Linked DNA regions of Caenorhabditis elegans. The protein of the gene in region 3 purifies or fractionates together with the protein of the main gene of each other region. This does not show direct contact. Each region holds a gene or a part of one and is shown on either strand. Other genes may lie near its edges.

What was found.
Region 1: the proteins of C18D11.7 (region 3) and C25H3.14 fractionate together in Caenorhabditis elegans (co-fractionation; one large-scale study listed by BioGRID). This does not show direct contact.
Region 2: the proteins of C18D11.7 (region 3) and pept-1 fractionate together in Caenorhabditis elegans (co-fractionation; one large-scale study listed by BioGRID). This does not show direct contact.
Region 4: the proteins of C18D11.7 (region 3) and prel-1 fractionate together in Caenorhabditis elegans (co-fractionation; one large-scale study listed by BioGRID). This does not show direct contact.

Annotation. Positions count from the first base shown.
Region 1 is NC_003280.10:5,692,540-5,697,352, reverse strand, and holds C25H3.14 (Acyl-coenzyme A thioesterase 13), read right to left. Parts: upstream 1,971-4,813; 5' UTR 1,960-1,970; coding exon 1,685-1,959; intron 1,307-1,684; coding exon 1,222-1,306; intron 1,167-1,221; coding exon 1,095-1,166; 3' UTR 995-1,094; downstream 1-994. Other genes in the region: C25H3.10 (F-box domain-containing protein), read left to right, coding at 1-171, 221-364, 414-659; C25H3.3 (Acyl-coenzyme A thioesterase 13), read right to left, coding at 2,614-2,700, 2,743-2,827, 2,873-3,147; eif-2D (SUI1 domain-containing protein), read right to left, coding at 3,591-3,764, 3,809-4,093, 4,335-4,813.
Region 2 is NC_003284.9:6,454,036-6,462,934, reverse strand, and holds pept-1 (Peptide transporter family 1), read right to left. Parts: upstream 6,064-8,899; 5' UTR 5,903-6,063; coding exon 5,860-5,902; intron 5,232-5,859; coding exon 5,076-5,231; intron 4,650-5,075; coding exon 4,508-4,649; intron 4,465-4,507; coding exon 4,375-4,464; intron 4,162-4,374; coding exon 3,971-4,161; intron 3,924-3,970; coding exon 3,846-3,923; intron 3,799-3,845; coding exon 3,716-3,798; intron 3,658-3,715; coding exon 3,402-3,657; intron 3,153-3,401; coding exon 3,008-3,152; intron 2,954-3,007; coding exon 2,872-2,953; intron 2,827-2,871; coding exon 2,704-2,826; intron 2,523-2,703; coding exon 2,257-2,522; intron 2,206-2,256; coding exon 1,686-2,205; intron 1,627-1,685; coding exon 1,294-1,626; 3' UTR 1,168-1,293; downstream 1-1,167. Other genes in the region: K04E7.1 (Serpentine Receptor, class BC (Class B-like)), read right to left, coding at 1-5, 53-145, 195-286, 792-906; Zinc metalloproteinase nas-33, read left to right, coding at 7,801-7,882, 8,015-8,069, 8,223-8,316, 8,358-8,441, 8,484-8,597, 8,641-8,733, 8,778-8,898. UniProt on the Caenorhabditis elegans protein: Low-affinity peptide transporter that is necessary for proton-dependent uptake of di- or tripeptides, and to a minor extent tetrapeptides, in the intestine. Transport is independent of sodium and chloride ions.
Region 3 is NC_003281.10:11,803,113-11,809,112, forward strand, and holds C18D11.7 (BTB domain-containing protein), read right to left. Parts: upstream 3,684-6,000; 5' UTR 3,668-3,683; coding exon 3,564-3,667; intron 3,482-3,563; coding exon 3,160-3,481; intron 3,117-3,159; coding exon 2,978-3,116; intron 1,883-2,977; coding exon 1,470-1,882; 3' UTR 1,441-1,469; downstream 1-1,440. Other genes in the region: twk-39 (Potassium channel domain-containing protein), read left to right, coding at 42-128; C18D11.10 (uncharacterized protein), read left to right, coding at 4,684-4,781, 5,200-5,302.
Region 4 is NC_003280.10:11,492,688-11,497,746, reverse strand, and holds prel-1 (PRELI/MSF1 domain-containing protein), read right to left. Parts: upstream 2,056-5,059; 5' UTR 2,045-2,055; coding exon 1,971-2,044; intron 1,921-1,970; coding exon 1,820-1,920; intron 1,769-1,819; coding exon 1,587-1,768; intron 1,542-1,586; coding exon 1,266-1,541; 3' UTR 1,084-1,265; downstream 1-1,083. Other genes in the region: nuaf-6 (Phytoene synthase), read right to left, coding at 1-82; emc-5 (Membrane magnesium transporter), read right to left, coding at 1-96, 565-766, 886-905; ooc-3 (Chloride channel CLIC-like protein 1), read left to right, coding at 2,433-2,606, 2,653-2,750, 2,801-3,263, 3,326-3,444, 3,493-3,599, 3,650-3,782, 3,839-4,041, 4,234-4,283; hacl-1 (2-hydroxyacyl-CoA lyase), read left to right, coding at 4,784-4,832.

The DNA.
Region 1 (4,813 bases), on a different chromosome or scaffold from region 3:
CAAAAAACAAATTTCACTAGAATTGATTGTTTGAAATTGGGAAGCTCAAAAGTTGAGTGTGACGTCACAAAATTGGAAAATTGCATGGCAAGTTTGGTGTGTGCAGAACTAATTGTTGACTGGAGATTCAGAGTTCCTGAGGATTTTTTCAATGAACTTCATGTTGAGAAGGTTTGTATTGAAAGGAAATTTCAATAGTTTTACCAATTTTATTTTGAAGTTAACTCGATTAACGATTGGAAATCAGGAATCTAGAAACTTCTACCACCCACTTTCGGGAGATCACTTCAGAAAGTTCAGAGGAGATTGGTTGGAAATTGGGCAAAATCGTCTCAGAAGTTCAGATATATCTACCTTCCTAAAAGTATGTTTCTGTGGAATTTGATTAATCACTCCATTTATTCGAATTTCAGAATTGGAAATTGGGCTCCATTTCTTGGATTGAAATGTACAACATTGTCATTAGTTTTCCAATTCCCGAATTATTGATTTTACTGAAAAATGAGAGTTGCCAGAAAACACCAACGACGTGGAAAGTGTCTCGGGATCTAGACGAAGGAAAAGAGGAACTTGAAATTGGATTCTTCAAAAGTACAAACTTCTCGAAACAGCCATCATTGGTTATAAGGCAATTGAAAATTTTAGAATATTTGTGGTGAATTTTGGTATCTTGTTTTGGAATAAGTTTTCATGATAAACAATGTGTATAAAAAAAGTGATCGAAGGCGATTATGATTTCTTTTTTTTTTCTTGCCTCCAACATAACCGCAGCAAGATATGTTCGGAATTTTTTAATGGAATTTTTTATAAGACTTCTTTCTATGATTTGCATCCAAAAAATATGAATTTTGAGCTTCTTCGTCACTTTTGGTATTTCACTGAGCATCAACTCAGAGCGTTGGCGTGTGATACGGAGCCTTTAAAACACATTATCCTTACAACAAATGATCTCTCACTTCCGATATTTGTGTTTTTTAATGGCAAACAAACACATATATTGATAAAGATATTTATTTTCTGAAATGAAATGGAATACATGGTAAAATAATTCTAGTTTAATTTGCATATAACATTATTTATTTTATGGTGAGCGATCACTTTGGGAACGCCTTGGTGTGGACTCCAGTAGCAATCATTGCATTGTCCCTTTTACGATAGAGTTCTGCCTGAAATAAAACACTTTTGTAATCAGAAATATTCAAGAATAAAAAAATATGATACCTTAGTGAATCCAAGAGAGCGCCCCTGTTTGATGACAGTAGAGTTGAGTACAAGAGTTTCTCCGATGTTTGCAGCTGTCAAGTATCTGGAAGTTACGATGATCATAAATATTTTCTCCTGAATTTCTGGCATTATTAGTTTACGAAAATGAACGATTATAAAGCTAAAATATAGGTATGGGGGTACTAGAATGAGCGAAACTTTTCAGTTACCGTACTCGTGAGTACGGTAGATTTCTCTTTTTTGTTGGTTTTGCAATAAATCTGTAGTTTTAAATTAAAGGTTGGAATGGAAAAATTAGAAAACATTAGAAAAAGTTCGTTGGTACCGTAGCTGAGAACATTTCGGTCGTGGTGGGACCCCACACTGAATTTTGGCTTAAATATTGCACTTGTTCGCAAGACTTATATGTTTCAAATCATTGCATAATCTAGGAAACCTCTATTTAGATATAGATACTCACGTAATATGCAAATCCACTGAAACACCAGGCCTCGCTTCCTTTGTGAGTAGAAGAGCACCAGTTGTGAAACAATCGATAAGTGCTGCTGTACATCCACCATGAAGTGTCTCGAATTGATTTGTCTGATCCTTTTCAACTTCGAATTCCACTCGTAGATTTCCTTCCTCCGCATGAACTGCTCTCACATTCCGTGCTCCAGCCGCATAACCGAATTGTCCTTTTGTCCCGAACATTTTGATCACTTCCTTCGCAATTTGCATGTATTTTGATGCCATTTTCAAGCAATCTTAGAAAAAATATATGATTTAAAAATATTTGTTTCAAAACAAAAATCTCATAACCACGTAGACTTGCGTGGATTCTCTTACCATCAAAACATGTACAGAGTACTCGGATTAAAACGAGTATTTATGGAAAATTGGAAAAAAAACAAGAATTCTTTACAATTTTATTGCGGAATAATAGTTTTGTACACAAGGGAAATGTTTTTCAAAACGATCAAATTAGAAATTGTGTCTAGGAATTATGTTTAGGAGGTATTCCAGACACGAAATTTTGCGATTTTTGGGCAGAAATCACGGTAGCCGGTCTCGACACGAAAACTTTTTTTATAACGGGAAAAGGTGTGTGCGCCATTAAAGTTTACTGGAAATTCCAACTCTTGATTTTTTTTCGCGATTTTCTGAAAAAAAAAAGTTTTAATTGATGTATGGGAGTTTTAAAATAAATTAATAAATGTTTTTTTTATCGAAAATTGATGGGAAATTGTTGAAAAATCAATGAAATTTCAACAACAACGAGAGTCTAAAATTACAGTACTCATCAAAGAAGCACACCTTTTTTCATTTAACCAAAACATTTTGTGTCGAGACCGGATACCGTATTTTTGGCGCACGGATCGCAAATTTCCATGTCTTGGAATATATTGATTAGTTTGCTTTCTTCACAGTTGGGAATGCTTTGGTATGTACTCCAGTTGCAATCATTACATTATCACTTTTACGGTAGAGTTCTGCCTGGAAAAAAATAATATTTTTAAAACTTTTCTTAAAGTTTACCTTTGTGAATGCAAGAGTTTTTCCTTGTTTGATGACGGTGGAGTCGAGCACAAGGGTCTCACCAATTTTAGCGGCGGTCAGGTATCTAAAAATCTATCAAATTCGACAATTTTCTTCTCTCTTTACGTACGTAACATGCAAATCAACAGATACTCCTGGCCTAGCTGGTTTTGTGAGAAGAAGAGCCCCAGTAGTGAAAATATCAATGAGCGTAGATGTACATCCACCGTGAAGAGTGTTAAAATGGTTTGACTGATCTTTCTCAACTTCAAATTCCACTCGTAGATTTCCTTCCTCCGCATGAACTGCTCTCACATTTCCTGCTCCGGAAACACATCCGAATTGACCCTTGGTTCCATAATTTTTGATGATTTCCTTCGCCAATTGCATGTATTTTGAAGGCATTTTGATTTAATCTGAAAATGGATTAACATCTTAAAAATTTAGAACAATTTATCCCCCAGACGCGAAATCTTGGGTCCAAAATGCGGCACCAGGTCTCGACACTTACAGTACTCTTTAAAGGCACACCCTCGTTTTTATCTCACAAAAAAAGCGTGGCGAGACCTAATACCTTTTTTTTCTGCCCGAAAATCGAAAATGTTCGCGTATGTGTAATATTTAAATTGGCACTGATAATTCACCAAGCGGATATGTTCAAAACGATAAGAGAAAGTTCTTCATGAATCTTTATGGAACCGAAAATACGAATACAACCCATACTTAGAAACACACGGGTATTTAATAAATAAAGAAAGACCGAATTTCAAAACAAAAAAATTAAGGTGTGAGGGAATACATTGAACAGATTTAATACTATTTGAATTTGCAAATTTCTCCAAATTTTCTTATTTCTTCTTTTTCACCGCCAACTCGGTTCCTTTCATAAATTTCTTGTCGATTCCATACGATTTTATCAGAAGATCAGCGATAAAATGAATTTGATTTCCTTGAACGAGTACTTGAGGACCTTCGACGCCAGGAACTTCCCATTGACTTGTAACACTAGTAGCCACACCAGTCTGAAAATTCAGAAATTAGTATTTAAGGATTAGCCACCAACTACCTGAATTTGATGGCAAATCGTTCGAATGTCAATTCCAAACATCGCTAATCCATTTAAAAGAGTAACTTTTTTGTTTCCAGCACGGTTTTCGATCTTGAATTCAACTCTCGGTGGAGATACTTTTCTGACTATTTCTCTGCCGTCAGGCCATCTTATGTGCCATGTTGCAGTCATTCTTGAATGGATTTCTTTCATCAAATTTGCCCATGGAGTTGTATCCGTTTGGATTTTAGTGACCGAAAAGATAATTGGATCAAGACGAACTGATCCTCCAGCAGCAAGTTTCTAAAAACATCATTTACTATATATAAAGCGCGTGTCCTTCTGTCCCTATGTAGTTTGATCTCTGATCAGAGCAACGAAATTTTGGGAAACCTTATGCTAAATGCGCAGCAGACATCGATCGAGGTCCGCGATAGACTCCGTATATCTAATGTGTTTTCTCAAAAAAGTCGGGGGCCGCGCCGTAGGTGCGGTCCACGGCTGGTGACAATTATAACTGAATAAGAATTATAAGGAGACTTACGTTTTCATTTACATATTTTGTGACAAATTCTTTGATTTGTTTCACAGTCAGAAGATCCCCTTTTGAGCAGCCAGGGAACAACTTCAGCGTTGGTTCGGTAATTGCAAAATATTCAGCTATCACGGGAGCATCAAACTTGGCCTTCTCCGCTGGAGCTTCATCAACAATTCGTTCATCAGTTACTTCAAAATCGCGGAATAATTTGTTGGAAAAGTTCACATCAGCTACGATATCAGCTCCTTTTTTCTCTTTACTCGGCGTAATCTTGATGATCCACTCACTTTCTAGTTCATTTATTTCTTGAAGAAACGTAGCGAATTTCTTGAAATGTGTCTTTTTCATATCCAATCGTCGGCCATCTGGAACACAAGAGAGAACACATTGCGTATAGAATTGTCCAACATCCATTGGGAGTTGATTTCGAGTGAATCTATGTTTTAAGCCAGCTAGGAAACAACGTGTCAGAAGATTTTCCATAG
Region 2 (8,899 bases), on a different chromosome or scaffold from region 3:
AGTACCTAAAAAAAAATGTTTCTTGATTTTGAAATGGAAAAATTTCGCCTACTAGTAGCAACCATGTGCACATTGATCCACATACTGCGGTAACAACCAAAGAAACCACTAGCCATGTATTCAGTGGAAAAGAAGTCACGTATCCCTGAAGTTAAAATTTCGGTTTTTACATTGATCTTTATTATCATTATCACCTTAACCACGAAACTGATGTGAAGCCAAGAGCAAATAGAGTTGGTGACGTAGACGACAAACGAAACAGCATATAGGGTGTGCAAAGTTTTTCCTGAAAGAAATAGATAATAAGTTTTAGGTGATAATTATATGTCATCAAGAATAAAATCCATTGTATAGTATTATTGCTTGGAACAATGACTTTTCTAGTTTATTTTGTATTAGCTTAAAGATGGAATAGCAAAACACTTTGTATAGCCTGAATAGACTAATTCATACTAAAACTTTATGAAAAACTTTCAGACTGTTTAAAAAATGAAAGATGTAAGAAGCGAAAAGTTTAAATTTTGTCGAACCGTCATTTATGTAGCAGGTGACACGTTTTTGCATCTGCAGGTTATTCAGTAGGCATTTTTTTTATACAAGGAATTGTGAAATTTAGCTAAACTCGGCCATAATTTTTCGAAATTTTAAAACGCCCTGAAATGTTTTAATTCATCAAATTTAATTGATTAATTAAAATGTTTGAAGACTATTACCGTGATAATAAAACTTGCTACTCTGCCTATAAGTGAAAAAATTAAAATGACAAAAAATTATTTGCCCAAGAGTCAAACCTTTGAGCAATGGAGTGCTGGAGGACGCCATTGCAAATCCGGAAGTGTAAAGTGTGTTAAGTAGAGCCAGAACATTTCCAGATTTGAGAGAAGGTGATGTTAATTCATCCGTCATATTTAGTCGCCCAGTGTGTCGTGAGCAAATCCAAAAAAAAGCAGATAATGAGAGAGCCCCCGGCAACAAGCTATTGTCCGTCCTCCACTAGCTTACAAAGCTTTAGACCGGATATACTCATCCGGTCGTCGCATGCCAACTTTCAAATTTGGCTCCTATTTTTGAGTTCAGAGACTTTTGCAATGGAATAAGAAATGTGTTTGGTCGCAAAACGACAGAATCAAGATGCAGTTCGGCTGTTGTTGTGAGAGTGGACATGAACAAAGTTTTTAGAAATATTTATTTTTTCAAGTGAAAACGAATTTTATCACGATGTCACAATAAGGGAAAGCAACAGTAGTAGGTTTAGGAAAACAAAATTGAAAATTTATACATATTAGGATTTAATTAAAAATGCATATCGAAAGTATCTTTTTCGTCCGGATGGAAACCTTTGTTATCAATTGAATATCGTGGATTGTGATCCTCAATTTCTTCCTCATCATCAACTCCAATTTCACCGTCCTCTTCATCAGTTGTATAATAATTGTAAGTATAATAGAAAATGGAGAGAAGAGCAAAGATGGCAATAACTACAAACATCGCAGCAGCATAGACAAAGAATTCGACGGCCATATTTTCAAATAAGTTAAGGATTGTGATGACTACAATGATGGAATCTCCAGCAGCAGTGGTCAAGAGCCAGAGGGCTTGTACCAGAGCTTTCATTGATGGGGCAGACTGTAATATTTACAGTTAGAATAGCATTATAAATTATAAATTTTAACTATTAACATTACCTGAGAATATGCAAATTCGTATCCGGTAATTGAGAACAAAATTTCTGCTGCCGTGATGACAACGATTTGTGGAATCTGCCAAAGAATCGACACACTATTGGACTGTACAATTTGAAGCTCGTGGATCTTTGGATTTTCGTATGTTCCGGTCAATGCATAGATGAACACACCTCCCTGCTTAACTCTGTGAAAACCGTAATTTGTTGGAGCAACGAGTGTTGCTGTTTTGTTGTAAGTCTGCCGGTCTACATCTTTTGGTGTATTCAAAAGGTAGTACAACTGCCAATATCCTGGCTTTACAGATTTCTGCTTGTAAGTTACAGCCGGTTGGGAACTAAGAGATCCAGTAATTGTAGCGTTTTGATCTCTGTCATCGGTATGACTATTATAATCGGTTTCCCAGAAGTAAAAGTCAGCAGGATGTCTTGGATTACATGGATGGTTAACATCAAAGTCGCTTGTATTTTGACGGCACATGGCAAAGTTTCCTCCGTATGAAGAATTGAATACAGTGACAATTCTGGAATTTATATATTATTTAACCATTGTTCCGTGTTATGAACACCCCTACCCCATAGAGAATTCTCCAGTTCCATCAGTTGGCTTATCAGTGTTAGCTGTGTTTTGGTAATATCCAAATGATCCGACTCCAACGTAGATGATCTTCTTGCTCTTGGCAGTCACTTTAACAGTTTTCTCCAATTTTGATGTATCTCCGCAAGCGCCGTCATAGCTGAGGTCATATGTGAGAGTCCAATCGCCATTACCTTTTGCGGGGGATTTTGTTGTAAAAAGATTATAAATTCCAGACTTGTTCTTTTTATCTTCGTGAAGATACTGAAACGTTGTTGTGTAAATACGTATAGTAATTCATGACAAAGGCAATAAATTAAATAATTTTACGATAACTTTTTCTGACTTCCTTTTTTCTTATCAGCACTTAAAATGGCATGATCTTTCGTTTAGAACTTAGGAGGAGAAAGTTAAAAGTGAAAAGAATCAAATTCGAATCTCAAACCTTGTCATGGGGAAGAACTCTCTTGTGAATTCCAGACATAACGGTAATGGTGCAATCAGTTTCAAACTGGTTCCAGAAACTAATTGATGCTTCTCCTTCTTCCGGGAGAGTTGGAAGAGTAGTCTGTAAAGAATTAATAAATTATGGAACAATTTTATTTGAAATTACATTGACTTGAAGTTGAACAAATCCAGTGATCAAAAAGGCAAGTGACGCGAGAAGCCCTCCAGTGACCATTTTTCTCAAAGGTCTAAAATATAATAATTCATTATACACAAATAATTTTATTTCAATGAAAACTCACGTAAGTCGGACACACTTGGCAGCGACTGGGTAGATGATGACCTGAAAGAGTGGGATAAAGAGAAGAATAAGCACGGCGTTCAATGTCTGCATTTGATCCGGAAGAAGGAGAAGGGTGTCAGAAAGACGACAATCCATTTGAATAGCTGAAAAAACACATTTTTAACATGTGAAGAGCGGGGATGTCTCAGTCGGTAGTGGTGGTCGCTAGCAATCACAAAATTGCACTCCTAGGTTCACTAAGCCAACGCTGGGAATTAGATTAATCAACGGCTGACTTAGCCCCCCGGCTTGATTGTAGCTTAAGCTAAAACCCAGTGGGTGCACCACAAGGAATTCTGCAGCTGACTCCCCAATTTGATCATTTTTAAATTGTTATCTAGAACTTTACAAACCTTGAATGAGCCAGACAGATCCTTGCTGATCGTAAAGTGCCCAGAACATTGGTACTGGCAAGAACATGACAAGAACACGGAGTAGGGAACGGACATCATCGATGAATTTTTTCTTTTGGCACAGATTCTTGTTTCTTTTCTCAGCTTGGAGTTCGAGGCATTTTGCATCAAGAGCACAGTCGTGAGTAGTAAGGTAGTGAAGGAGCCAGTGTTCCTTTGGTGTGGATCCTGACTTCATTTTGTTTCCAACAGCTCTCTGAATATTTAATCTTGGTTTCAAAGCAGTTTAGAAATAAAACAAAACAAAAACTTACAAACATAAGACGAGATACTTCTCCGAACACGTTGTCCTTTGGTGGGTTCTTCTTGTACCAAAATGAACCTCCCATAAATACCACTGTAAGAGTTTAATAGTCAATGTGATTTTTGAATATTTTATCTCACGTGTTGCAACAATCATAAGAATAGCCGGAATACCAAAAGCCATTGGGTAGCAGGAATCTTGTCCAAGGCATGGTTGAGCTGAAATTATTGTACTCTAATAGTGTTTTAAGAATTGTCAAGTTTACATCTGAAGATGGGAGAGATGAAAGTAGAGATCATAGATCCTGCGTTGATGGAAAAGTAGAACATGGAAAAGAAGAGTGAGAGCATTCTTTCTTGTCCTAACTCGAATTGATCTCCTCCGAATGCAGACACACATGGCTTGATTCCTCCGGTACCGAACGCAATGATCAGTAATCCAGACAGATCCATCCATCTGAAAATTCAGCAGTTTATTTCTTGTGAACCCTTTTTAATTTTGTTCGGTTTCAGTTTTTTAATGTTTAATGTGGCGCGTGCACTGTCGGGCAAAAGTTGCCACGGTTGAAGTTCTTATCATCATGCCTTGTTTCAATCGAGAGGAATTCGTAAAGACGGAAAAGTTGCATGATAAGTTTATGCGTCGAATACTGGAACAAGCATCACTTACGGGTGAACTGAAGATTGAAAATTCTTAGTAGAAGCGAGAGCGAGCACGACTTGTCCGATTGCGTATAGAATTGAGACAGAGAAGATTGTCCTGAAAAGTCGTTATTGAGTGCAAAACAACAATTATTACATACCAGAATTTTCCAATGTATCCGTCCGCAACAATTGATCCGAGAAGTGGTGTGGTATAGCAAAGCACAGTAAATCCATTGAAGAAGATCGTAGATTGTGAGTCGGTGAACTTTAGTACGTTAAGCAGGTAGAATGTCAAGACCGCTGCAAATTTTTCGTGTCACGTTTCAATTGATCTTCTGTACTGCCAACGTCATAATCATTATGGTAATAACCGGATTATGACCTTTTAGTGATATCGGTGAAAAAATGTCTTATTTGCATTTCATGTGTCAAAACTTTCGATTTTTAAATATACTGGCATGTAGATAGGAAATTCACTTTTTGAGTACCATGTACTTAAAGTAAATGTTGATAATACCCTTATCTGAAAATGTCCACCCACCGGCCGAAAATCAAAATAAGGTTTAACTCTACTTTTTCTTCACCTTACCTCTTAAACTAAACTAAAAATATATGTACAAATAAAAATATTTTTTGTAGATTATTGATACATCAGAAATGTTTAAGGCTGTTTAAAGGATCTATTATATCCTTTACACTTTTACCCTAACAAATAAAGCAACTCACTTCTCATTCCATAGTATGAGAATCGTTCGCAGAATTCGTTGGACACGATGCACAGTGTTGTTTTAGGCCAATGCCTGATCATATCAGGCCATGTTGTGTAGATTTTCTTTTCCGGTAGTGGTACTGTTTCGAGTTCATGGCCGTATGATGTTTTGCCTGAAAAACTCGTTCTGTCGATTTTCGATCAAAAACTCTGAAATTTACTCTTGTCGCCTTTTTTTTTGATAGATAAAATTTCCCACGCGGCAAGATTAGTTATAATCCATCTAATTTTAGATAAATGCCATTATCACTAGTTTTAGCGGCTGTTAAGAAGAATTGTATTTTACAAAACAATAAAACAATCTGGAAATGATGTTTCGGTATGCTGGAGGTAAGTTATTTTGTTCCGTACAGTGTGTTGCAAAATCTGCATTAATATTAGATTTATTAGTTGAGGGTTCTTGTTACTCATAAGTAATACAAAATTATTGGATTACAGTTTTCAACAGGAGCCCAGTTGTTAATGGTAGTCGCTAGCAACTAGGGGTCACGAGTATAAAACGTGAGGGGTACCCCAGCCTTAACTGGAAAGTGGATCTTTAAAATCTGCGACTGGATGATTGACCACATGCGAATCATATTTCGAGAGAAATACAATTGAACAAACTATTAAAACATTCAAATACTGTGTAATGTTACAATATCTTAAAAATTAAACTACATGGGTGGTATAATATTCAGGCTTAACCGTCTTAATAAATGTATTATGCTTTATTGAACTTTTATATGATGAATCAGTTACCTTTCGAGCTAACGCTCTCCGAGCGACTCTCCGAGTAGCCCATAGTGGCGATACTGACGAGGAATGAGCCTGTCGCGGTATTTGAGGCAAGAAATGAAGAAGAAGGAGGAGTATGGAGGTGGGCAATAGGTGCGTTGGCTCGATGACTGTGTCCTCACCAATTTCTTGCTGCGTCTCTTTATCAAGTTGAACCGCACTGTTCTTAATAGTGCTTCTCCTACTCGCTTAAATATTTCACTCATAAATTTTATCATTTCCACTTTCTTTTTCCACCACCTCTTGTAAGCGTTTTCGTACATTACATGCTCCACTAATCGGATAGCGCAGAAGGCGAGCAAAGGAATGAGAGTACGTGTCACTGTTGGAGACCAAGTTTTGATGCGGGTTGTCTGTAATTCAATGTTATCACCTATTAAGATGTACTGTTTCTGAAGAGAAAAAGAAAAATTGAGTGGAGGGTAAAGAGAAAAGCATGACAAGAAAGGCACAAAGTTGAAAAGGGTGTAAAATGGTGATATGAGCCGACTGAATATCATGTCGGCGTGATTTATGATGAAAAATGATTTAGGGGAAGGTTATTCTGTTTTCTTGTTCAAAATCTTTAAAATCTTACAACACCATTCAAAAAATTGAATTGTTAATTATAACACACAGTAAACATAACGAGACGCTGAAAATACATATGAAAACGGGTTAATGAGTGTTTTTAAAACAAGGCACCATAAATGGTGAGTAGCGAATGTAGTTAAAATGTATGGAACCACTTCTATAATGTTAAATAAATAAATTTTGAAGTATTTTCATTTGCAGCCAAAAAGTTGTGATTAATCAGCTTTGCTCACATAAAATTGGTAGTCGATTTGAAAAATAATAGAAATTTAAAAAAATAATATTCTAATTAAATCTTATACACTTGTACTGGAACATTGTACAGCGACACTACTCTTAATTTATCAAGGAGCCTAAACTATGTATAAACTTGATAACATACGTTTAATGATTTTTTTTTCAAAAAAAACTTTGAAAATTTAGACTGTTTTATGATGATCTGGATTGCAATAAAAATTTTCGGACAAAATTTCCACTGACGACAATAATCCATATGTAATGTTTGGTGTCAATTAATGAAATATTTTCAAGTAATACGTGTTTACCTTTCAAGGAATTTGCTATATTTCCTAAGAATTTTTTTAATTTTAACAAAAAATTGCGTTTCAGTTTTATGAAAAGGCGTTTGCAAGCAATTGCAATGTGTAGATGTGTAGATACAATGTGTAGATAGGCAAAGTGTAGAATTGACAAAAGCTACAGTAATAATAATACGTTGATTATTAACACAGTACCCATATCCAGATTTTCCACCCTTTTTTGTAGTCTATCATTAAAACGTTAGAAGTCTATTTCTACAATACACATGCAAAACTTGAATGCTATAAACTTAGTACGTGAGTCTAGACCATCATTTTTCTGGGAACCCTGATTAAGAACACAAGAAAAAATAGTTGAAGTTCAGCGAAACATAATTTGGATCAATTCGGCGACTTTGTCTGATTCATCCCCAGATTTCTGTCTTGATCTTCTGCATGGTATGATCTTGAAAATTGCCATTTGCTGAGTTTTTATAATATTTCAAAGTAACATCCACTGATAGTCAAATGTTTGTGTTCACCAATCATCTTGCCATCAAAAAAAAACTTTTTGAGGCCACGCGTAATTTCATCTTCTTTTCACTCTCAAAGATTCCCCCAATTAAAACTTCTACGACCTTTATATTTGATTGGCCGAATGAGACAAAACGATGCAAACACCTTACAGGTCTTCCCGCGTACCAAATTTGTGTTGTTATTACCGATTAAACCCTGAACTAGTTCATGCTGTAAATTTTTTTACTTGGTCTTTCATTTTGATTAAACTTGGCATATACTTGCCGCCGAGAGCAAAATGTTATTTGTAAGCATACTGATATCACAGTTTGTTACTTGTCTGACGCAACCTGATTTTTTTGAACGGCCTCCTCCTCCAGGTAAGAATTCCTTGAAAAATTATCGCCATCAGCTGACACTTACTTATTTTTTTATCTGAAAATTGAAAAATTTTGCCTGGAATTTGATAAAAACGGAAGTATAAAAATAATGAAATACGTTCCGGTTTACAGATTGGTTTTTTCCAGGACCTCTTCGGCCTTGGGGACCGCCTCCACCTTGGCATCGGTGAGATTTCACTTTGATTCCAGAAGAATTGCAAACATAACTGAATTTGAAAAAATCAGCATGCTAATCCAAGAATATATAAATAGAACTTTGTAAAAGCACGTTTTCGCACGTGTAGAATGCCAAGGTTTTCATATTAAAACAAAGTTTTAGAAACCGAGGTCCTCCGCCATTCGGACCCCCACCTCCATGGGATCGACCACCGCCACCTTGGCGAAGACCTCCATGGCATAGAAGACCTCCATGGGTAACCAGCCTAAAACTACAAATTTTCATCAAAGGTTTAAGGGTCTCCCGCCACCGCCTCCTCCGCCTGAGCCGGAACCACAACAAGATCAGCCGCAAGTTATGTTTAGTCAGGATATAGACAAGGTTAGTTTAATAGAAAAAATATGCAAATACGTTAGAATTCAGGTTGTCAATAGTGTGAACCAGAATACAGCTGCGTTCCAGCGCCCCGGAGAAAGTTATGATAAAGTTATCCAGATTATGAGTTCTTATTTTAATCGAAAATCAGGATCTCAATATGTGAGTCATTTTTTGAAATATTTTTATAAAATTTCCTATGCAGGATATAAACACTGTAATCCCGTCCAGTGGGATTTACAACAATGAAATGGCTGCAAATAGCAAAATTGCTGCAGTTATGTTTGAAAGTGATATGGTTAGTTTAGAAGGTTTAAAAAATGCTGAATAATTTTTTTTCAGGCTTTAACGGTTTCACAAATGAATAAAGTAGCTCAAAACGGCTTTCGTGTGAAACGAAAAATGAATTTGAACGGAACAACGTGGTCTCGAAACATTCCTTATCGTTTTTTAGATACTGATGG
Region 3 (6,000 bases):
GCATTTTCTTATTTTGTTAATTGATTTAGAAATTGTTTTAGGACAAACGAACCATTTCCTCGGGCTCATCGAAGCAGAATGAGGAGTATATTCATCCAAGGAAGTATCATCATCATCACAGGAGATAGATTTAAATCGATTTTTTAGTGGAAGAATCATCAAATTTTGGGGTTTTTTTCGGACGGGTTTTTTTTTGATTTTTGGATTTATTATTTCCATTTTTCCGATTTTTTTTTGAGTTTTTGAGTATTAAAATAGCTCACCTCAATATTCCGGGAGTACTAAATTCTGAGAATGCGTATTACACAACATATTTGACGCGCAAAATATCTCGTAGCGAAAACTTTGGTGTCGATTTACGGCAGGGAGTGGGCGGCAAACGACTTTTTCCGGCAAATCGGCAAATTGCCGGAATTGAAAATTTCTGGCAAATCGGCAATTTGGCATTTTGCCGGAATTAAAATTTGCCGGCAAATCGGCAATTTGGCATTTTGCTGGAATTAAAATTTTCCGGCAAATTGCCAATTATGTGTATTATTTTTGTACTCTTTTCTAATGACACGATTCATATGGAATCGTATTGAAATAAATAAATAAATCGGCAAATTGCCGGAGTTTAAAACTTCTGGCAAATCGACGAATTGGCAAGTTGCCGGATTTGAAAATTTCTGACGAAACGGCAAATTGCCGGAATTGGAAATTTCCGGCAAATCGACAAATTGCCGGAATTGAAAATTTCTGCCAAAACGGCAAACTGCCGGAATAGGAAAATTCCGGCAAATCGACAAATTGGCAAGTTGCCGGAATTGAAAATTTCTGGCGAAACGGCAAATTGCTGGAATTCGAAATTTCCGGCAAATCGGCAAACTGGCGGAATTGGAATTTTCCGGCAAAACGGCAAATTGCCGGAATTGAAAATTTCCGGCAATTTGTCGATTTGCCGAATTTGCAGAGAAAAAAAAGTTCGAATTATGACAGTGTTTTCTTTTAATATTTTGTCGATTAAAAAATGATTTCCGTAAATCGACACCAGCGCTACAGTATTAATTAAAAAAATTACTGTAGTTTTCGCTACGAGATATTTTTCGCGTCAGATATGTTGCGCAGTACGCATTCTCAGAATTTTGGGTTCCCACAAGCTTTTCTTCATTTTTAATTCACATTTTCTTCTCTCTCTCTCTCTCTTGCATTCAAAACTTTGATCTTAATATTTTTAAAATTTACTCACTTTCTACTGTTTTTATTTTCATAACAACACAATAAAATTCAATGTTTCATTAAAAATTGTAATTATTATCAAGGTCTGAAAGAATCTTTAAAAAATATTTGAACTGCTTGAAAAATGTCTCCTGCTAATTTTGGTGCAAACCTGTGAGATGTCGGCTGCTACTTGTCATTAGTAACTCTACAGTTTTTTACATCGTTTTCAAAAAATTCAATATAAATTATTTATCACTGTTCAATTCAAACTAAGATGGTTTTTTGATTTGAGCAAACTTCCATGTAAAAATAAACACGTGTTCGAGAAACCAAATCGACAAAATTGTGAATATAAGTTTGGACTTATTGAACGCAAAATACTCGCAAGCTTCTCCAAACCACGATTTTTTATCATCAAGAAGATGAACACTTTGAATTTCTGGATCTCGAATTTTGACTCGTCTCACTGGTTTTTCCATTCTCCTTTTCACCCGGAAACTTTCCAGAACTTGAATGGAAAAACTCGGATCTTCTTGGAGAATTAACTGAAACTTTTTCCAAGAGTGGCGGGTTATCCAATTTTTATCATATTCATCTGTTCTCGAGAAATCGTCAAGTAAGACGAGAAGGCGATACATTCGAAAGCGGCATGCGAGAAGGAGGAATTCAGTGAAGTAGAATCCTGGAAAATCAATTGGAAAATTTACAATTTAATGTATTATTAGAAACAGGAATGGGTGGCAAAGGCAACTGCAAGTTCGGCAATTTTTTAGTCGGCAAATTCGGCAAATCGGCAAATTGCCGGTTTGTCGATTTGCCGGAAATTTCCAACTCCGGCAAATTGTCGATTTGCCGGCAATGCGAGTTCCGTCAATTTGCCGATATGCCCTTTGCCTGATATCTATTTGCCGGAAATTTTTAGAGGGATTTTTTATAAGACGGCAACACTTTTAGATATTTTCATAGAATTTGCTTACTTTCCAAAATAGATGTAGGAACATTCATAGGATGCGTACAATTTTGCCGATTTAAATTGAAATTCTGAAATTTCCAAAAAAAAACTGTGCAAAACCACAATTTGCCGAAAGTATTCGGCACTTGCCGTTTTTCCGGCAAATCGGCAATTTGCCGGAAAATTTCCATTCAGGCATTTTGCCAATTTGTCAATTTGCTGGTGATCTCTATTCCGGCAATTTGCCAATTTGCCGGAGAGCTCAATTCAGGCAATTGTCAATTTCAGCAATTTGCCGTTTTTCCGATTTGCCGGAGTTTTCTATTCCGGCAATTTGCCGGAGATCCCAATTACGACTATTTGCCGAATTTGCCTGAGATCTAAATTTGCTGATTTGCCAAAGATCTCAATTCCGACAAAAATCGTTTGCCTCGGCGGAGCTGGTAAATGCATTTAAAAAAAAAATCATATTAGGCAGCAAACGATTTTTTTTTTAATAAAAATTTCCGGCAAATCGGCAAACCGGCAATTTGCTTCAAACTCTAATTTTTTTCATACTCTAATATTTCAACAATTTTTGAAGATCAAACTGAGAGGTGATACACAAAATACACGCCTACAAGAATGCTTAAAAATTTTTTTTTTGTTTTTAAATCTATATATTCTTCCACCAAAATTTCTCAACCTTATGCACTTTGTTCTTATTCAATTTTTGCACACATCTTGCTAACAACTATCTGCAAACGCCTCCAATCTAAAAAATACCTAATCCCTTTTTATTATTTAAGAGTTAAGCTTAATCTTGTTAGTCCAATTGTAACTTACGTGATATCCGCTTATGCGGAGGGTTCAGAACCCGTAACATCTCGAGAAACACCTCTGGATCCACATCGAGCAAGGTGATCTCAATGCCGGAGGAGCTGTCGCGGAGCTTGTTGAACACTTCCGAGTTTGAGACAATTGTCTGGAAGAGGTTTTACAGCTAGTGTCAGTAGATGAGTTGTTACCTCCATACAGAGAAATATCTTCTGATTGGCAACGTTCACAATTAAACCATCCTCGTTTTCAGATTCTTTATCGGCTGGACCAATGTACTCTTCACCGTATAACTTCGTTACCTTGAATGTGACCTCTATTGAAGTCCAGTCTAGATACTCAATATCATAAGTATCCTCGCATTTTTCTTCAAATGGAAATGGCTCTGATCTCTCGTAATAGCTAAAATGCTCATCCTTGAACCATATTTTTACGGATGACTGGTATTCGATTTCTGGGGTTTCTTTGAAAAAGGCGGCAATGTGGAATTTTCGATCCTTGATGAAGAAGAACCTGGAAATTTTATGGAGTAGGATTTATTTTTTATTTTTTTATTTTTATTTTATATGAAAAGGGTTTAAAGTATAATACTCACCACAAATAATTAGCAACATAGGCATGTTGTGGATTTGTATCCGGTGTCATGACGAGGCTCTTCTCACTCGTAGCATCTTCCCCAACACGATACACATCACTCATCTATAGTGAATGAGCTTAAAAGAAATGAGGTTAGGAACAACGCACGGATTATATATTGCAGGTTGCTATTAGCGACAAATAACCCGAAGAGGAGATGCGAGAACGATGGGCGGTTGATTATTGTCAAGGGACAATGGGAGAGAGGAAATGTATATTATTTGTTTTTGAGAAGAATAGATATTAGAAGTTTGGTTTTGGTGATTTCTAAGCGAGCACTATACATTTGGGATTTTCCACTATATAGATTAAAATCAAACGATCAGAATTCTTGGATACATAGAAAGGGTGGGCTGCAATTGACGATTTGCCGGACATTTTTAATTCCGGCAAATTGTCGATATGCCGATTTGTCGGAAACTTTCAATTACGGCAAATTGCCGGTTGCCGAATTTGCCGGAAAATTTCACTTCCGGCAATTTTGTCAATTTACCGATTTACCGGAAACTTTCAATTCCGGCAAATTGCCAATTTCCAGGAAATTTTCATTTTGGGAAATTTGCCGGTTTGCCAATTTGCCGATATTTTCATAGATTTCACTGATTTTTCAAGATAGATGTATAGGTACAATTTTGTAGTTTAAAATTAAAATTCCGAAATTTCCAGAAAAATGGGCAAACCCACAAAAGAAACGGCAATTTGGTATGGAAAACTTTAATTTTAAAGGATTAAAGGATTAAAGGACGATCCGTTCTTCAAGTGCTATGCACTGCGGATCTGGGATTCAGGTACACTGCCTGGTGGTGATCCCTCTGGGCTGTAATTTTTTGCAATTTTTAAATTTCGAATTTGGAATTACATTTTTTGAGAAACAGTGAGCCAACGTTAGGAAAAAACTGGGAAATATATGATTTGACGGCAAAAAATAACAAAACGTTTTGCTGTTGAAAATAAAAGTTTGTTTTGCTTTACATTTTTTGCTTTTCACCATTTTTCTAACTCCCCAGAAATAGGGCTTCCATGTAGGTGCCTACCTGCCTGCCTGCCTGCCTGCCGGAACATAAGTATTACTAGTATGTATGCTTGTATTTGGAGCATTTTGTGCTCCAGCAAAACTGAAGGACAAAGTTGGAGAACATGCGCTGACGTGGACAATAGTGGAAGCTAGTCAAACACCGTGAGTTTTGTAGCGGCCGACACCTGATGGGACACCTCTTGGGTAAAAGACCGCTGCTTCCTTCTTTTCCTCCTAAGATAGCGGCCGACATTTACGGGGTAATGAGTAGGGCCTGTGTACAAGATCCTTGATTATACACGACCCGGCAAGTGGTACATCCATTCAAATGCGCTCTACTGATAATTTGAGTGTAGACTAGGTTTGGGCGCGTGATAACAAAAAAAAAGCATTGGTCCCAAAATTTTAGAATTTATTTTCGGCCATTTTTTATATGCATCACAAAAAACTGGATTAACCGTTTTTGAGATAGACGCGCCCAAACGTTCAGGTATACGGTAGACAAACTAAAAGAAGGCAAAAACGCGTACGGCTTGCCGGGCCGTGTTATACTTTAGTTTTCATTTTTTATAATTTTCAGGCATATCCGGACTCGTCGATACTATGGAGGTTGGGGATTCGCCCGACCATGGGGTTTCGGAGGGTATGGCATACCGACTACCGGATACCCATTCTGGGGATGAAAAGTTGTATCCAAGTTGTAATTTTATGTGGTTGTAGGGTTAGAAATAAAGTTTTTGACGCATTATGTTATTGTAAATAAAAAACATGAAAAAATCTGAAATTCGGAAACTAGCTGTTCAAAAGCATGTGGTGTCAATAGGGCTTCCATAGTAGGCAGGCTCGATTTCAGGGCCTGACGCCTGACTATAAATTAAAAAACAAACAAAAGTTCAAGTTTGTTTTAGCATGAGGCGCAGTTCGAGAGGCAGGCGAAGGTCGCCTTAAAGTCAATCAGGCAGGCGTTTTAAAGTCTTCATGGAACCGGCTAGGTGTCAATGTGAAATGTTTTTGAAACTACACAGCTCTTGGGTCCTCATTTTCCTCTTCATTTTTTTTAAAGCAATGGTCTTTCATTTTTCTCCAGTTATTTTTTCAATTTCAGACACTTAACCTTTTAAAAACAAACAGTCGTTTTTAATTGTCTTGTTTTGAGATGTAAATTTTCCATGTCTAAACATCATTTTTTTCACTTTAAGTTGCCGCAATCAGGAAGTTTTCAGATATGTAATTGCTACATATTTACCCCTCTGATCAGAATCTGCATGCTAATCTACAATGGTAACGAAACTTTTAAAAGTACAAACTACACAACTGTCTCAACCCCGCCTATAATGGTTATATATAAGGTCCTTGAGAAAAACTAAACAATAAGACTTTT
Region 4 (5,059 bases), on a different chromosome or scaffold from region 3:
GAGCATCGCAAATTCTGGGGACATTGCTTTGGCACGGTTGTCGAATGTGATGAATGATGGACAATTGAGTGCTTCGTCGCATGATCGGTCGTGGTGCTGGAAATTGGGAAATTGAAGTAAATTGAAAATGCCAAAAAACAGGAAAATTGATTTTAAAGCTCCGAACTAATTTTTGTTTTAAGTTTTTTAAAGGCGTAGTAGCGAAATTGGAAAAAGAGAAAAAATTGCTTTTTTAGACCCAAACTAACCAAAAAACTGCCAATTTTCGTGATGAGGACCTTTGAAAATTTCTCAAAAAAAATCATGGCGGTTCAAAGTATTGGAAAAAGGCGCATATTATAGCTAAAATCTCAAATTTTGCCAAATTGTCAGTGCCGCCACTGACGGAATTTTTTAACACTTCTAAACTGGCAAAATTTGAGATTTTAGCTGAAAATAGTTATTTTTCAAATACTTTGCACAGCCATAATTTTTTTTGAAAATTTTCAGATATTCTCATTACGAAAATCGGGTTTTCCTCGTTTTTGGTTTAAACAATTTTCATGAATCTCTCCTCCAACTCACTTGATCCTTCTTTATGAAAAGGAATGGATTGGCCAGGAAGGAAGTTCCGTAGATCAGTGCAATCAAGGAGATAACTGTCTGAGCGACGACGTCGGATGGGAGATTGATGAACGGTTGCTCAGTGAGACGCAGGTAGAAACGGTGTTGGGCGGCGGAATAGGCACAATGGAGCAATGAGAGAAGCGAGACGATTGTGATCAGGCTGCAACAGGGGATTTTCTTTTGATATCTATGTCTCTTTTTCTTGTGATTGATGGTTATTTTTTGCTGATTCAAGTGGAACAACTGCCGTGTTCCAGAAACTTTTGGGAGGTCACTCACCGGTAAATAGTACTCGCCATATCGTTGATCGAAGACCAAGAAGCTTTTTGAAGGAGTTTTGAAAAGCCTTATTGAGAAGAGCCTAAATATTGGAGATTATGATAGATTATAATGTAATTCAGACAAAAAAGGTCAAGAAAGATAACAATAGCTGGTAAATAACCAGAAAATAGCCAAAAAAAATTCAAAAAATAAATTGAATATGTACATTTATCAGGAGAGATTGAGAGCCAAATAACAAACAAATAATGGTCTCAGTTCAATGCAAAGAATGTGCAGAAGATTCAGTAATTCTATGAGAATTGAGATTTTTTTGGGGGGACATAAATGAAAATAACGGGAAAAAGTGAATGTTTGAGATTTATATTCAGTATGGCTGACTAGACATCCTCTTCGCATTGGACATGAGTGACGAGATTTGACGATGACTTGATAATCTTTTCCTTGATCATTTTCATTTTCTCATTAGCAACGTTTTTGACTCCAAATCGCTCTTCTAGCTTCTCAAACAACCCTTTCGTTGTGTTATTGATCGATTTTTTGAAGCCCATTAGTAGGACTTTCTCGTAAACTGAGCTCATTCGACCACAATCGATTGAAACTGTGACACTTCGCAGTACGTCAGTGAGAAGGGCTGGGTGATGCTGCTGATTATCCTGAAAAATAACAGTAAATAGAGATTTGAAATAACAATGATAAACCTCGGATGATTTGTAAATGCATCGTTCATGGAGTTGAAATAGAGAAATGTGTGAAACATTTCGAGTGTATGTTACGAGTTTTTTCGATACTTTATCATAAACACTTTCTTCAATGACAGGAACAACTTGAATATCTGTCATTCTCGAAATCCAACGAGGAACACGTTTCAAAATCGAGCTTCCTGAAAAATTATGCGAATAATTTACTGGCTCTTGTAATATCAGCTAAATACCTTGCTTGACAATCAATTTTTTAGTGACAATAGTGTTGTCAGTGATCTGGCGTTCGAGTACATCCTCCGAAATGATGTGTTTTGCATGAGAATTTGGGTATCTGAGGGTTTAGAAATTGAAATTACCATTTTCCGAGATTTCCTGCCTCACCTGTCCCAAAACGCACTGGCAACCTCATCAAATGAATAAGGGAACGAGGTATTCGGAGAATCCCAAAGCTTCATCTTGAAGTTTACTGAAAAACAAGAAAATTTGATGAAATTATTGCAAAAATCGATGAGAAAAGTGTGGAAAACTGTGGAAAAGAAAATAATGAATGCAAATTTCTCGCGTACGCAGGCATCGAAATTCACGACAATTCTGCATACACCAATTGTCAACCGTATTATACTTATTAATTTGCCTTCTGAAAACTTGTTTCGCAATTCTTGAAATGTTTCGATTTTACAATTTTCTGAATATAAAAAGTGAAGTTTAAATGCGAATTATCTGAAAACTCGGAAAAACACAACATTTTATTGATCAAACAACTATGTTATCTTATGAACTCGCCTGTCAGTTGCTGAGCGTGCTGTAAACATCTTTTCTCTTTCAACTTTCCGCTTGTTTCAGATGAAAATAATATGGGTCACACTTCTACTCCTCGTCCCGCAACTTTTCGCAACTCAAGACATTGACGAAGAATTTACACATGAAAATGTGTGGAAAGATCCGAATGATCCAACTTCTGGAGAAAGCCCGCCAGCGTCAAAACGACTTCTATCTGTTCGAAATCAAGTTCAGAAGGTAAACTAAAAGCTTTAAAGAAATCCGTAAATAACCCATTCAATAGTTTCAGCCTGATCAAAGTCTTCGTCTGATTCTTCGACAACTTCTCCACGAAACCAAAATTGACTATCATTTGGAAGGTTCAATTAAAAAAGATGTACAGTGAGTATATTTTCTTCTAGTTCCGATATATTTTAAGCTTTGAATTGCAGAATTAAAATATCTCGGCACAGCATGTCGGTTCTTTCGAAGTATTTAAAAAATGATGAAGCAGATTTGGCTGAAGAGAGAGAAGCCGTCCGATCCGCGTTGTCAAACATTTTCAGCGTGAAGCCTCCAGCTCCAGATCGTACTTGGCAGGATACATTTGTGACTCTCCAACCTTTCATTTTCACACTGAACATCTTCATTTTGCCCGCGGCTGCTTTTGTTGTTCTTCGATCAATCGTTCGGCCACGAAACTTTTGGATTCTCGTTCTCTCAACTGCTCTTCTTGTTTCCATGTATTCTGGTTATAGCAAAAAATATCAAGAAGCAGAATCACGAAGATTTGCACAATTCCAAGAGCATGCTCATGATTCTTGTGCTACAGAAGGATTACTCTCAAGAATGGTTGAAATCCTCGCATCGCCTTTCCAATATCGGCAAAAATCAAAATGTTTAAAGTACATTGAGGTTAGTTTTTGTTTTATTTCTTCTTTGTTGGGTTAAATTATTTTAAATGTTGTAAATTTCAGAGTCAAACCATATCGATTTTCCACGAGATTTCTATCATCGAAGTGTTTTCTGAGACTATTTCCGGAGGATTCTTTGCGTTTTTTTCTGGTTCTGCGAAGCACTTTAATTTATTCTTCAGGTATTTTTTGACGAATTCATAAAAAAAGCTGTAAATTAATTTTTCCAGAAATCTATATGACGGTGCTCCATTGATAGCTCAAATCGTGATGACAATCTTCCTTGTTCTAATGCTTGGAGCTATTCGAACTCCATTCTTTAGTTATGAACCGATTTGTAAGAAATTTTAATTTAATAGTTAAATAACAAAAACTAATATTTTTCAGGGCTCAACTTCTGTAGTTCCAGTATTGGAAAAATCGCGGGTTGGCTGGATGGAGAACCTCCACAGCAGCCAGCTCCCCAACTGCTTATAACAGCAAAAGAGATGAAAAGATTAGAACAGGCAAGAAATAAAAAGTATGATTGCGGTGTTTTTCCTGTTAAATTGTGTGAAATAACGAATATTATTTCAGACCCGAAATGATAAGTTATCCAACATCGGAGCGAGAAGACGTCGTGAGTGGAAGCGAAAATGGGAACGAGAAAAAGAGCGACAACGAGAGAGAGGAGTCGATGAAGATGGAAGAAGACTCAGCTCCGGTGGAATCGTCGCTAGAAGACGATCTGAGCTTACTCGGAGAATCGAGTGAAGATGAGGATGAGGAGAAAGTTAACGGTAATGTTTTGAGCAGGAAATTCAGATGGATTCCAGTTGCCCATAACATAAATTCTGCGAAAAATTCAAATTTAAAAATCATAAATTAACATCTAAAAAACTAGAAAACTAAAATGTTCACCGCTTCGTCCTTTATTGATTTTTGTGTAAAACAATATAAACTTATTAAAAAGCTTTACTTTTAAATTTCAGAATCTCCTGCAAAAATCGACTCAACAACCTTATCAGAATCAAGCTTCTAATGACTCGAAGGTCAACCCAACCCGTTCAATTTGTTATCTCTTTTTTTGTTTGTACAATCAATATTTTTCCCTCTTTTTTGTACATTTTTAGTTCATATCTAGAAATCACTTTTACTAATTTTCCATTCTTTTCCTGTAGATCTTGCCTATTACCTCTTCCTTGAATTACACTTTACTGGTAGTTTTTTTTGTTGCTTTCCTTGTCAATGAATCATCTCCGGTTTCAAAATTAATAGTTCTTTGAACTTGAGATCAAATGTTTACTCATCAAGCTATTTCCGAGACCTTTATGAATCTGATGACGTCTCACGAAGAAGGTTTTCTCAAAAAAATAATAGTCATCATTGTAATCTTTGCTGTTGAATTGCACTGAATTCGTTGAATACATAGACGCAGACAGTAAAAGAAACGAGTCACAGAGATCATTCAAATCAGAACCTTGTTTTATTGACTTCTTTGCTTCCGCTTTTTCATTCAATCAGAACGAAAAAGTTTTACAGATGTCATCCACACGGTTTATAGCTTCTTCTCTTGCCAATGTCACATCACGTGAGTAAATTATTGACTTAAACAATATTTTCTGGAATTTTGCGAAGTCTTGCTAGCATTGCTTCAAAGTTACTGTATCCGGTCTCGACACGACAAATTTCTGCTAAATGCAAAGAGATGTGCGTCTTTAAAGAGTACTGTAGTATTAAAATTTCGTTTCTCCCGAATTTTAAAATTTTCATCAATTTTGCACAGTTCTTCTCAGTTTTCCGATAAAGTTATATTTC